Sus scrofa: one gene and its partners. The protein of the gene in region 3 interacts with the protein of the main gene of each other region in a pairwise test. Links are inferred from orthologs where the notes say so. Each region holds a gene or a part of one and is shown on either strand. Other genes may lie near its edges.

Evidence for each region.
Region 1: the proteins of COQ8A (region 3) and SH3GLB1 interact in binary tests that used the Homo sapiens proteins (3 or more experiments, as listed by UniProt). The link is inferred for Sus scrofa from reciprocal best matches to the Homo sapiens genes COQ8A and SH3GLB1.
Region 2: the proteins of COQ8A (region 3) and TMEM239 interact in binary tests that used the Homo sapiens proteins (3 or more experiments, as listed by UniProt). The two-hybrid records come from large-scale screens. The link is inferred for Sus scrofa from reciprocal best matches to the Homo sapiens genes COQ8A and TMEM239.

The regions. Positions count from the first base shown.
Region 1 is NC_010446.5:129,392,193-129,397,277, reverse strand, and holds the start of SH3GLB1 (endophilin-B1), read left to right. Parts: upstream 1-1,806; coding exon 1,807-1,878; intron 1,879-5,085. UniProt on the Homo sapiens protein: May be required for normal outer mitochondrial membrane dynamics. Required for coatomer-mediated retrograde transport in certain cells. May recruit other proteins to membranes with high curvature. May promote membrane fusion.
Region 2 is NC_010459.5:32,837,181-32,840,678, forward strand, and holds TMEM239 (transmembrane protein 239), read right to left. Parts: upstream 1,910-3,498; coding exon 1,873-1,909; intron 1,754-1,872; coding exon 1,600-1,753; intron 1,509-1,599; coding exon 980-1,508; downstream 1-979. Other genes in the region: C17H20orf141 (uncharacterized protein C20orf141 homolog), read right to left, coding at 2,182-2,422, 2,507-2,775.
Region 3 is NC_010452.4:14,617,142-14,621,557, forward strand, and holds part of COQ8A (atypical kinase COQ8A, mitochondrial), read left to right. Parts: intron 1-848; exon of another isoform or gene 849-866; intron 867-1,783; exon of another isoform or gene 1,784-1,788; intron 1,789-2,360; exon of another isoform or gene 2,361-2,364; intron 2,365-2,481; 5' UTR 2,482-2,491; coding exon 2,492-2,668; intron 2,669-4,416. UniProt on the Homo sapiens protein: Atypical kinase involved in the biosynthesis of coenzyme Q, also named ubiquinone, an essential lipid-soluble electron transporter for aerobic cellular respiration.

The sequences.
Region 1 (5,085 bases), on a different chromosome or scaffold from region 3:
ATGGTGAATGCAGTGTCATGATCTTTTTGCAGAAATGGACATGGATTATGATATACTTGTGAATATACTTATTGTGAAGACAAACATCTGGAAAGAGATAAAGTGTTTTCTACATAAAAATACAAAATGAACAATAAATGAAAGCCAAGAATCCTGATTATATATTTCCTTCTCCATATTTCTGGAAAAATAAGTTAAGATACACATGGAGTAAGATTCATTCTTTTGTAGTTGCCTTGGGGGGAAAAAGGCTGTTTCTGTCACCACCACAAAGAACATAAATATTTGTATGTTATTTGCTATTCCTTATAATATGCTTAGGCTCTAATCTTTGTGCCTTTAACAGCCACCGCTGCTATGGCTGCTGTTTCAGTAAAACTCAGAAGCATGAATGTGAGCTCATGTCACCGCCCACCGGGCCTGCTGTCACTTTCCCAGCCCTAAAGTAATAAAAGGGCAACACAACAAATGCATGGAGCCTTTTCTTATACTTGAAATTCTAGTCTCCCCTCCCTCCGTGCTTGTACCCATGTGAACTTCAATCAAGCATAAGCTGTGTCCTGAGGCTGCTTAACAAGATACTTGGAATTACGGGCTTTTGCGCAAATTCCACGTCACGGGCTCCTTAGTTATGAAAATTCACATGTATTCCCATTCGTTATTAACGTTGACATCGTACCCCATTAGTTATCAAGCCCGCCTCGCCCAGCGGCTAAGGGTCCCTCGGTGTCGCTCACCACCGTGCACGGCCACGTCCAGCCTGGCTCTCCGGGTCCCGGGCGCCGCGTTCTGCACCAGCAGGCGCCCAGGGTCGGACCTGCAGCCCAGCAGGTGAGCGCTGCCGCGGGCGGGGCTGGGGTCCCTGGAGGTCAAGAGCCGCCCCGAGAGCGTCCTGAGGCGGGGACAGGCCTGGGCGGTAGGTGTCCCCAGCACGGGTTGCAGTCCTGGTGCCCAGCAGATGCTCAGCAATGCCGAATGAATGAACAGCGGGCGCCGCGGGGACTTGACTTCAAGTCTGTTCTGCAAACGTCCACGAGCGCCATCCGGGCGTCAGGCACCAGCGGGGCGCGGGACCTACAAGACTCATTTCACAGGTGCTGTAATTCTACGCTACAACGTCCCCATTTTCTCCTAAAACAAAACGGGGGGTTGGGGTTCTCTCTGTTCTGGAGGCTCAGACCAAACTGCAAACGTGCAGCGGCGCAGCGGCCCCGCGGCGCGCTTCTCGCCGCGAACGCCACCCTCCCTGAGGGGAACGCGCCCAGCTCCCGGCGCGCCCCGCGGCTCGGCGGCCGCGGTCCTGAAGGGGACGCTGTTCCCGCGATAACCTCGGCGGCCGCAGACCTGAAGGGGTCGCTGTTCCCGCGATAACCCCTGTAAAGGCCCCGCCCCGCGGCCCCGCGACCGCGGCCCTGAAGGGGTCGCTGTTCCCGCGATAACCCCCGTAAAGGCCCCGCCCCGCGGCCCGCGCTCGCTTCCTCCGTTGGGGACCCGGCCCCTCGCGGCGCGGACGCCGGCCGCTCTCCTGGAAGCCCACCGCGGCCCCGCCGGCGTTCGCGGCAGCTCCCCCTGAAGGGACAGGCCCTGCGTCCCGGCCGCCGCCGCTCGGGCGCGCGGCCGGCTCCGAGGCGCCGGTTCTCGCCGCCGCCCCGCCCTCCCCCCACGGAAACGACAGCTGCGGCGGGGCCGGCGCCGCCTCCCTCCGACCACGTCCGCCCCCGCCGCGCGCACCCCGCGCCCCAGCCCGGCCGCCGCGCCGCCGCCTCCCGGTAGGTCCGCCGGCCGCCGCGCCCGGCTGCCCCCAGGATGAACATCATGGACTTCAACGTGAAGAAGCTGGCGGCCGACGCGGGCACCTTCCTCAGCCGCGCAGTGCAGGTACCGCGCGGGGGGGAGGGCGGCGGCGCCCGGGGGGCGGGGAGGGGTCGCCGAGGCGGCCGCGCCCGTGGTGCCGGCTTCCGACCGCCCGCGGGCCTGCTGCGGCCGCGGCCCCTGAGGGCGCGGCCTGGTACCCTCTGCGCCCGGCGGCCGTTTTCCTGCCCTCCTGCCCAACCGCCGCTCGGGCAGGCGCCGCGGAGCGGGGCCGGGCCGGAGCCTCCCTTCCTCGGGAGGAGCGGGGCCGGGCCGGAGCCCCCCTTCCTCGGGAGGAGCGGGGCCGGGCCGGAGCCCCGCTTCCTCGGGAGGAGCGGGGACGGGCCGGAGCCCCCCTTCCTCGGGAGGAGCGGGGCCGGGCCGGAGCCCCCCTTCCTCGGGAGGAGCGGGGACGGGCCGGAGCCCCGCTTCCTCGGGAGGAGCGGGGACGGGCCGGAGCCCCCCTTCCTCGGGAGGAGCGGGGACGGGCCGGAGCCCCCCTTCCTCGGGAGGAGCGGGGCCGGGCCGGAGCCCCCTTCCTCGGGAGGAGCGGGGCCGGGCCGGAGCCCCCCTTCCTCGGGAGGAGCGGGGACGGGCCGGAGCCCCGCTTCCTCGGGAGGAGCGGGGACGGGCCGGAGCCCCCCTTCCTCGGGAGGAGCGGGGACGGGCCGGAGCCCCCCTTCCTCGGGAGGAGCGGGGACGGGCCGGAGCCCCCCTTCCTCGGGAGGAGCGGGGACGGGCCGGAGCCCCCCTTCCTCGGGAGGAGCGGGGACGGGCCGGAGCACACCTCGAGCTCGGCCCCGGGCTGCGGCACCTCTCCTCCTGCCTCTCCGACGCCGAGGCCGGGGCCTGGGTGCGCTCCCTCCCGGGCGGGCGGAGCCCTTGCGCGTCCGCGAGGGGCCGGGAGACGGCCGTCCTTGCAGCACCCCCGCCCTGTCCTCCGGGCTCGCTCCTCGCCGGGTCCGAGAAGGAAGTTTGCTTTCCTAACCCTCTGTCGGGACAGCTGCCAGCACAGCGCCCCGCAGTCCTGCGCCCGGCTGCCCGCGTCCGGACTCAGCCAAGGCCGCGGGCTGGGGTCCCACTGGTTTTCAAAGTGGGGAGCACAGGCAGTGGGGCAGCGAGAGAGGGGGTGGGGTTCTTGTCGCGCCTCCAGTCACAGGGACATTTTTCGAAAACACTTTAGGGGGAAAGTTGAGTACCTCGCGTATTCAGAAATTAAGGAAGTGTCAGTCCTGGGAACTCGGGACAGTTTTCTGCAGGCGCCACCCACACTGTGCCACCGCGGGGAAATCTGTGAGCAGGTGTGAATTTCACAGTACGGGGTGTAAACAATCTGGCGTTTTAAGTTAATGGCACAGTCACAGTAGCAACAGCATTCTCTTTTGTAAACAGAAAACAAAAATAGTTTTCTAATGTAACATACCCGGCTGGTACTGAAATGTAAGTCATTGTGAAACTTTACTGCTTTCCTAGTTGCCTTTAGCCCACTTTTTTTGGCATAGTTGACGCTGCACGATGCTTGACTTGTAGAAGAATGGAAGAATTAGAGCAAGACACTAGCTGTTTATTTTAGTGCAAATTCTCAGTGATTCTGGTGCTGAATGCAGATTTGACACTAGGTAATGCCACTTTGAAATAAAGCTGGATGTTTTCGGGTACATAATCCCCACTGCTTAAGTAGGACATACGTATTATGGTTTGATTGAAGTGGTTGATCAACTTCATGTAAAAAATCTGGCACAGCTCTCAAGATGTGCTTCCCACGTTAATTTCAGTTATTCACTGTTTCAAATTCTCTAGGAAAAAGTTTGAAAATTCTATCTTCTGTTAGTTATCAAATAATTTTCAGTCTTAAATACTTCACTGTCTGCTCCACATCCGCATGTTACTGCTGTTTTGGCCAGTAGTGATACAGCAATAAATAAAATCGCCAAAATTTCTGCCCTCCTGGAGTTTACAGTCGAGCGGGAAAAGACAAACTAAGTACATTAGAGAAAAAAGCCAAAAAAGATTAGTTTAGGACAGGGGTGGTGGTTGCTGCTGTTACATGAACATATTGGAAAGGGCAGTTTTTTCTGTTAGGATCAAATTCAGAAAGACCTCAACGAAGTGACACTTCTCCCCTTTTTTTGTTTTTTTGTTTGTTTGTTTGTTTCCTTTGAGGAAAAGCATTTCAGGCAGAGGTAACAAATGCAGGATCTGAGGTTGCAGGGGTGCTAGAGAGACCAGTTAGGGAGTTGTGGCCCTAGGTCAGGCAAAAGGTGATGTGACTTAAATAAGAGGAGGTTCAGAATCTGTCCAGTGTTGAGTGTCATATTGGCTCTGGGTTATGAGAGAAAGATGAGTCAAGGATGACTCTGAGGTTGTGGCTTGAGCCATTTACTAAGAAGGGAAAAATTTCAGGAGGATCAGGCTCCTTTAATGTGTCTTTTTGTATTAAGTCTGTAATATATATTGCGAAATATTTATGTACAAACTATGTCATGTCTGAGAATTGCTTTAAAATATTTCAGAAGAAAAAATGTGGATAATTGAAACAGTATTGGCAAAAGGTTGATACTTGCTGACGCTTGGTTATGGGTTCATGAGGTTTTATTATACTACTATACATTATGTGTGACATTTTCCATGGTTTTTTAAATAAAATATGTAAGGAAAAAGAGGTGGTTGCAAAATGGAACGTGAAATCTGGAATGCTATGTGGTAATTTTCAACAAAATACTGCATTCCCATTTCATTATTTAGTCAGTAACAGAGTTCCTGCTCTAAATTGAGTTGACCTAAGTGTTGTGCCAAAAAGTGCCAAGTTTCATGCTAAGAATAGTGTAAGAGCTATGCCAGTTCCTCATTACAAGCAATAAGATCAGCAGGAATGGAATTCAGCTTTAATATTTCTGAATAATAATTTCTATTCAAATAAAATTACACCTTAAGGAATAAGCCATTCTTTGGTTAGACAATTGCCATACATTTTTTTCATTTCAGTTAAAAATTAAACATGTCCCCTGTTTTAAAAAAGTAAAATAGAACTATTCGAGCATATAAATGGGTCCCATCACTCCACTCCAACTCTTCTAAAATTTGTCTCTATAACTCAGGACTTTTTTAAGAATATTAAGGTGAAATGTATAAATGAATAGTAATATTCATTCTCTAACAATCCATTTGGCTGTTTTTGTTGTTCTTACCTCCCTCAATAGAATACTAGGATCCAGTATTTGCCTTGGGAAATTG
Region 2 (3,498 bases), on a different chromosome or scaffold from region 3:
GTTAACCACTGAGCCATGATGGGAACTCCCATGGCACACAACCTTTTACCTCTTGTTCACACCCATCCATCCTCTGTTTACCATTGTATGGTCCAAACTGTATCTATGCCAGAACATTTCTCTGAAGCCCTGGAGAAGCTTTCTGCTCTTTAGAGTTTCTTATCTTCTGGCTTGTTGGCCTTTATACAAAGTCCTTCACACATTGGTATTATTGCCTTTGACTCACAACAGCTCCATGACAGGACCCACTTTATACCAAGGCTCAAAAGAATTAATTGGCGAAGGCCACACATTGCGTAGGTGGGTGAAATGGGACTTGTTTTTCCCTAGCAAACCTAGGGAGTCTTAAGCCGTAGGTGCTCTCTGGGAACCTCATGACCCTTGTTGGCCCATTTCCCAGACTTGAGGATGTAGACTGAGGCAGGAGGTAGGAAGTCTAGGGAGTGGGGAATGGATGGGCAGAAAATCTGGGAGGAGGCTTGGCTGAGGTCTCATGTGGCTTCTGGCCGGCCCTCTCCCAGCCAAGTTTCTGTCACTGGGCTCTTTCTAGAGCCTGGGGAAGGGGAAAGACGGGCTTGGCGGGGTGAATGACAAGTCCAGGGGCACCCAGGTAGATGTTCTCTGTGAGCTCGAAGCGGAGACAGTTGAGCAGCTGCAAGGAAAAGATGCTGCCAGCTGCTAAGGGTGTCCCAGGGGTGTCACCACATGCACGTGGGAGCTTTGGGTGGCCTGGCCTAGCTCTGCTCCCAGCTCAGCCTTCTGCCCTATGCCCTGGCCCCCCATACCAAGTACCTGGAGGATCAGCTTGAGAGAGATGCCCCTACCCTGCCAGCAGGCCCTGACCAGCCCCAGCTAGGGACTGAAGGTCTGGAGCCTGCCGAGGCAGGAAGGCCCTGGTCCCACTGCCCTCCCTCTCCCCTGGGCCTCGGGCCCTAGGCCAGGGCTCAACAGACACAGGCAGCAGGATGGGGTCGCCCTTCTATTGGTCCAAGTCCTGAGCAAGGCCTGGGTGAGACATGGAGGTGAGGAGGCCCACGAGGCTCAGCAGCGTGGAGAACAGCAGCAGGAAGGAGGCCATGAAGAGCAGGGCGGGGAGGGCACTGAGCGCCAGCAGCAGGACAGCCGGCAGCAGATGGCGCCACGCTGCAGCCACCACGGGCCACAGGGAGCTCAGTAGGTGGGAGCCGGTGGTGAAGAGTGCATGGCAGAGCATCAGCGCCAGCAGCAGGTAGAGGATCCCTTCCAGACCCCACAGCACACGCTGCAGCGGCTGCCGCCAGCCCGATGTGATCCACCACTGGGCCCAGCTCGGGGGCATGTGGCACATGCACCAGCGCACCCAGCTGTCCCGTGTGAGCCAGGCCGTCCAGGGCACAGCACGCTGTGGCCCCTCACCGGCTCCGGTGGCATCTGTCTCCACTCGCAGCTGCTGCATCACGGCTGGTGCACCTGGGGAGAGGGCCAGGCCAGCTGCAGGAGCAGCCCTGGAGATGCCTGGGACCTCAGGATGGGTGGGTGGGGGTGGTAGCAGGGGTCAGGAGGGTACCAGCATGGGTGGGGTGGGGCTTGGAGCTGGGGCCTGGGTCTTACCTCCTGGCAGAGCCACCTAAGTCATGTTGCTTCTTGCAGCGCCCAGGACGGCCTGGCAGCCAGAGTTGAGCTCCCACTCTCACTCCCCTCACCCTCCCCAGAGGAGCCCCATTGTGACCCGGGCTGGGGTGGGGTCCAGCCAAGAGAGGGTGTGAGCATGAGCCTTACCTGAGCCTCTCTCATGGACTCTCTGGACTGGCAGGGGAGTTTCTCATGCTTCCTTGTGGGAAGCCCTCTCCGGATCCCCTCATCCCTTCCCTGCTGGCTGATATCCAGTCCCACTCTGCTCTCTTGCAAGTCTTTCTCTCTGGACCCTCATTCTCTAGAACCACCCAGGAGGCCAGACTAGCCACCCCAACCTACGGGCTCTGAGATGGCTACCACATCCTCCTCTGGGCTCCTTGTCCTTTATCTCGGTTTTGGCCGATGTCCTCGGACTCAGACCTAGGTATCCACTGTCCCTATTGTGGGAGCAGAGGTTCCCCTGGGGTTCAGGCTGGAGGAGAAAGAGTATCCTTCCATCTGCCCAGCCCAGGGTGGAGGAAAGAAGGCCTGAGGAAATAGCATGGCCAGTGTATTTCTGGAGGACACTCAAGCCCAAGGATGGAGACAGAAAGCCAGGGCTAGCAGGGTCAAGGGCATGCCACGGGCTCCCAGGAGGAGCCCCAGGCCCAAGAGCAGCATCAGCAGAGCCTCCTGGAGGGCGAGTTGTCCTGTGCCCACCGTGGGCAGGAGTAGAGCCTCCACTTGTCCCGGACCCTCGCCGGCGCCCTGACTCTGGCCCCCTGTGAGACGTGGATGTGTGTGCTGTGGCCAGGTGGGACCTGCAGGCCTGTGGCGAGAAAGGGTGGCAGCTGGGCTTTGGGAGGTTGACCACTTGTGCACCTGCCCGCCTGCTAAGCTGCTGTGCACTTACCGGTGGAGCAGATCGAAGGCCAGGAAGCTGACGAGTAGCAGCAGCAGCAGCAGTGAGGCTGGGCCAGTTGTGGAAAAGACGGCCCAAATTGTCAGCCCCAGTGCCCCCAGCCCTAGGACACTGTCCAGGAGCTGGGCTGGGCTAGGGCCCCCAGGAGACACACATGGACCCACTGGGCTACCCGATCCTTCCCCAGCACCCAGGCCCCTGGGAAGGCCTGGGATAGAATAAGCAGGGCCCTTGGGCCTGGATGAGCAGAGCTGGGTCATGGAGGGAGCTGGCAGTTACAGCAAGGAATGGGGAAGGGTAGGAATCTGGGGGATGAGACCATGGGGGAGGGCGATGGGGGGCCCTGGCGGACACTCAAGGGTGAGCTCAAGCAGTGGAGAGCTGGGCTTCTCGGGAATCTCCTCCTCCCCACACACCCACCCACCAAACCCTCCTCATCTCCTCCCACTTGGGTCAGCCATTCTGGGGGGCTGGGTAGCCGGAGCATTGTGACTTATTGCCTGGGGGGCCCTGGGGTAGGGAGGGGGCTGCTGCTGGCTCTGGCCTCCTAAGTAGCTGCTGTGGCTTGATAGGAGGAAGCCTGACTTTGGAGAACTAAAGACTCATCCTCTTGCCTTTGCTAATCGTCCACTCTAGGGCCCTCCCGTGGGGATCTGTGTTGCTGGGAAGACATTCTAACCCCATCACTGTATGGGCAGCTCTCCAAGGGAGGAAGGGCTGCTTTCTTTGCCTTATGAGCTTCCTGGGCTGTGTGTCCAGGGGCAAGTGACTCAATCAGTCTGTCCCCAGCTCTCTCCCCAGAGAGTAGGATGATGCCAGTGGGCTCTTGTGGGGGATTTTTCAGAACTGCAGTCCTGGAATGCAGAGATAGACTCTGCCAGGAAGCAACCTGAGGCTTTCTGGGGCAGGGTTCCCATATGACCTGGTAAATGGGCCAGAGGGGGTGGGGTGGGGTTGACAGGAGGGGCCTCTTTAGACGTTTG
Region 3 (4,416 bases):
GGGAGGTTCCCAGGCTAGGGGTCGAATCAGAGCTGCAGCTGCCGGCCTATACCACAGCCACAGCAACGTAGGATACGAGCCGTTTCTGTGACCTACACCACAGCTCACAGCAAGGCTGAATCCTTAACCGACTGAGCAAGGCCAGGGATCGAACCCACATGCTCATGGATACTAGTCTGATTTGTTTCCACTGAGCCACACAGGAACTCCCAGAATTAATTTTAAGCCTAAAAACAAAGACTGAATGAAAGAGGTCTTCGGATGTTCTGTGCAGGATTCGCTGTCAGGCCAGGTGAGGGTTTGGGATCATCGGGGCTTTTGGCCTCTGGGAGACTCCCGCCTTGGTTATCTGGGCTGGATTTAGAGGTGTGCAAGGGGAGGGGGGCCTGTTTCTGGGGCCCCCAGGCAGTAGGGTATGCTAGTTGGGGCTGGGGCCCTGGCCTCTGCCATTGCGTGACTCTGATGTCTCTTTCCTTCTTCCCTCACGAGGAAAGCTTAGCGGTACGTGTCGGGCTGGGGCTGGGGAGCTGCTGCGAGCTGGCACCAGCTGTACCTGAGCTCTGATTACATGAGCTTTTCCTAGTCCTAGGCGTTTGATCTGGGGCTCACACTTGTTTATTGCTCTGGGGTGTGAAAACAGCAGCAGGCAATGAGCAGGGCTCCGCCCACCTCTTTCAAGGGTATGATCACCTTCCAGAAACCTTGGCTTTGATCAGGCTATAGGCGGTGTGTTTGTGGCTGATCAGTGCCCTGTCCCCGTGAGGGTGCCTTGGAGGCGGAGAACCAAGCATTTGGTGTGGTGGACACAAGACAAGGGCGGAGACCAGACCTGGGGCCACCGCTCAGGAACCGCATCATTTTGGCTGGTTAGTTAACCTTGCTGACTTGGTGAAATGTGGGCAGCAATATCCATGTCATCCATAAGGATTCAAAGGAGATGAGGTGGAGGGTTCTTGGAGGGCAGGTTATGGTGGGTCGTCCTGACTTCCAGGCTTCTGTGCATTTGGTGTGTGGGGGTTCCTCTGGCTGTCGCTGCAGCTCTCTCTTTATTTTGTATTTATTTATGTAGCTGCGCCCACGGTATGTGGAAGTTCTGGGGCCAGAGATGCAACCCAAACCCTTAGCCCTGACGATGCTGAATCCTTAACCGCCAGGCCCCCAGGGCACTCTGACAGCTCTCCTTTTAAATCAGAGCAGCTGTACCCTGTGCTCAGGAGCTGAGCGGATCCTTGCGAGAACGACTGGGGCTGCTCCCCGAGAAGGGCGGCCAGGAGTGGGAACCCCGGTTCTGGTGGAGATGCTCGTCAGCCAGGCCTTGCGGTTGCGCAGCTGCTAATTAGTGTGCTGAGAACCCCCTCCCTCCTGCTGGCCCAGCCCTGCGTTTGTGCATCTCGCCGTCTTGGCCTCCAGGTGTTTGTTCACACGTCTGGTCCGGGTCTCCTGGTCGTGCCTTCCACACCCACACCCGCTCTGCCCACCGGATCTTATCTCGGAGGCTCCTGGCAGGTCCTTGCCCCCGCTGCAGTGCCCCGTCCCGCTCCGGGGGCTTCTTGGAGTCTCCTTTTGTGTTTGCTCTCCCCGCCACTCCCTGTCTGACTTGCCCCCCAACCTGGAGCCCCAGGTAGGCCAGAGGAGGATGTGGGGACTGCCACGTGCACTCTGCCCTGCATGGCACCCGGTGTGCCCCCGACAGGAAGGAGCCCCTTTTACGCTGTGACCGGTAGAGAGCAGAGAGTGGGTGTGCGCACACGGAGGGGAGACGACTCCCACAGCCGCCCCTTCCTGCAGGTGCTCCTTGCTCCCCGTCTGTCGTGCCATCGTGTTGGTGGCATTTTCAGTGCCAGTTAGGATTTTCCAAAGGCAGTGCCCTGTGGTCTGGACTGCAGCTGGAAAGCACTGGCTCGGGGAATCGTTGAGCCTGAGGGTGGGGAGGGGGCTCTGGTTGTGCTCCCTCGGTGGGTGTCTGTCAGAGGCTTCATTGGGCAGAGCCAGGGTGGCTGGGCTGGATTGGGTGGCCCATGAGGAGTTGGGGCTACCCCCCAACCTTGAATCCCTGGCCCCCGAAGGGAGCTGCTTGGGGAGCAGGTGTTCCCTCCCCAGCCTGTGCATTTGGTCCAGAAGGAGAGCACCGGACTAGGTCCCTGTACCCAGATCAGGTCCTGGTTCTACTGCTTGGTGGCTGAGGGACTCTGGGCAAATCCCTTAACTTGTGCATATGATGGGGAGGCCGTGGGGCCCCAGCAAACAGCTCCGACTCCCCGACGCTTTCCTTCTGCTCAGCACCCTTCAGCGTGGGGAATTGCTCAGTCTGCCTTGAACCCTGGGCTCTTCTCTTTGCACTCTGACACCTGGATCCGAAGCAGGGTGGGGGCAGGTCAGAGGAAAAACCCAACTGCCCCGAGTCTGGGGGAGAGGTGCCCCGTGTGGGCGTGACACCAGGGAGGTGTGGAGCCCTGCCCTGACCTGCCTGCTCTCTTCCAGGCCTGGAAGGATGGCTGCCGTGTTGGGGGACGCCCTCATGCTGGTCAAAGGCCTCGTCAAGCTGACCCAGGCGGCTGTGGAGACCCACCTGCAGCACCTGGGCCTTGGCGGGGAGCTCGTCCTGCTGGCCAGGACCCTGCAGTCCACGGCTGCAGAGCAGATGGGCGTGATCTGGGGGCAGGTGCAGGTGAGGAGGCCCGTTGATGGTGGGAGGGGGTGGGACCTGAGGGCCTGCTGAGACCAAGGCAGTGAAGCAGGGCACAGCCAGGATGGCTGGTCCCCCTGGGGCTATAGAGCCCACTGGCTAGTGTAGCCTTTCGTCCTTGCGGGTATGATGGTGAGGCTGCCGTGGTATGAGCGAGTTTTAGTTGGAGGAATCGTCTCAAGCTGCCCAGGTGACTGGACGAAGCCCAGCCCCCTTAAGTCAGACCAGTGATTCACCCGCACTTAGCCAGTACCTCCGGATGCCGGGTGCGGGGCGTGACAGGCCCACCCTGCCTCTCTGCCTGGCCTGACTTCAGCTCCTGGGCTGTCCTGAAGGTAGGAAGAGAGGCCGTTTCAGTTTTAGAAATTGAAAAAGTCACAAAGAGAAGACTAACAGTCCTTGTGTTCTTATGGAGGCAGCCACAAAATCCCTGCGATGCTTCCTTTGTGGAAGCAAACAAGTCCATTTTTCCCCCCACTTTTTTAGGGCCGCATCTGTGGCATATGGAGGTTCCCAGGCTAGGGGTTGAGTCAGAGCTGTGGCAGCCAGCCTACACCACAGCCACAGCAAGTCAGATCTGAGCCACATTTGTGACCTACACTATAACTCACGGCAGCACGATATCCTTAACCCACTGAGCCAGGCCAGGGATCGAACCTGTGTCTTCATGGATGCTAGTCAAATTCGTTTCCACTGAGCCACAACAGGAACTCCCCAAACAAGTTCTTTATAAGATAGAACACTTTCACCTTGTTCATCTGATCTATGTTAGTTTTTTGGTTGGGCCGATTTTGTAAAGAGGCTGCCCAGTGTGCAGGCGGGCAGGACACCCGTGTCTGGTTGGATGTCACAGCTCAGTGTCCAGCTGTCACTGGGGCCTGAGTGTCAGTGGACCTTCCTTGGGCTTCGACGGCTCTTCTCCCAATGCCAGCTGAGCCCGAGCCAGGCCGGGCCTTGTCTTCCTTCTCCACGTTGCCGCGGTCTCTGGGTGCTGATGTGGGGCTCTGCCCCTCTCCAGGGCAGCATCCTCACCTCTCGCCTCCCCCTCACTCCCTGTGCTGTCTCATGCTGAGTCCAAGAGCCCTGACTTTCTGCCATCCAAGTGGTTGTCAGCAGGGCCTGCTCCAGCCAAGTGACGGGACCCGAATCCCGTGTCCTGTGCCGGGTCTCAGACTCCTTGCCCGTCCCCCTCTGCCGAGGCTGTGCCCTGGCCGCCTCACTGGGTGCCTTTGCTGGTGAGCAGCCACCGCCTTCCTGTGGGGTGTTTGGCCTGGGGAACGCCCGGGAGTGAGGCAGCCCGCTGGACATGGGCAGCCCCCTGCCCAGGCAGGGTCCTCCCCCTACCAGCCACTTGGAGGTCGAAGGGAGTGACCGTCCCCCACCACGAAGGAGGCACTGAGCTCCCACTCTCTCCCTGAACAACTTAGACGTTGGTGTCCCCTCTCTCTGAGGGGACAGAGGGCCAGCTACTCCAGAAACCTCTCCCCCTCTGGCTCCTCAGGGGATTTGCTCACTTATTCATTCAGCAAACCCTGAGTCTGGTCCCTTTGAGACACTGGGCCCCCTTGGCTGGCACATAAACAGGTTGTGGTAACGCAGGGCTGGCTGGCGGGCAGCAGGCGGGGTGATGGGGCAGAAGGAGTTATGGGTCCGCAGCCAGCGAGGGGATTCCTGGAGTTACATAGCTCTCAGGACCCTGCCTCAGGCTTCCTCACCTCGGGGCTCCCCTG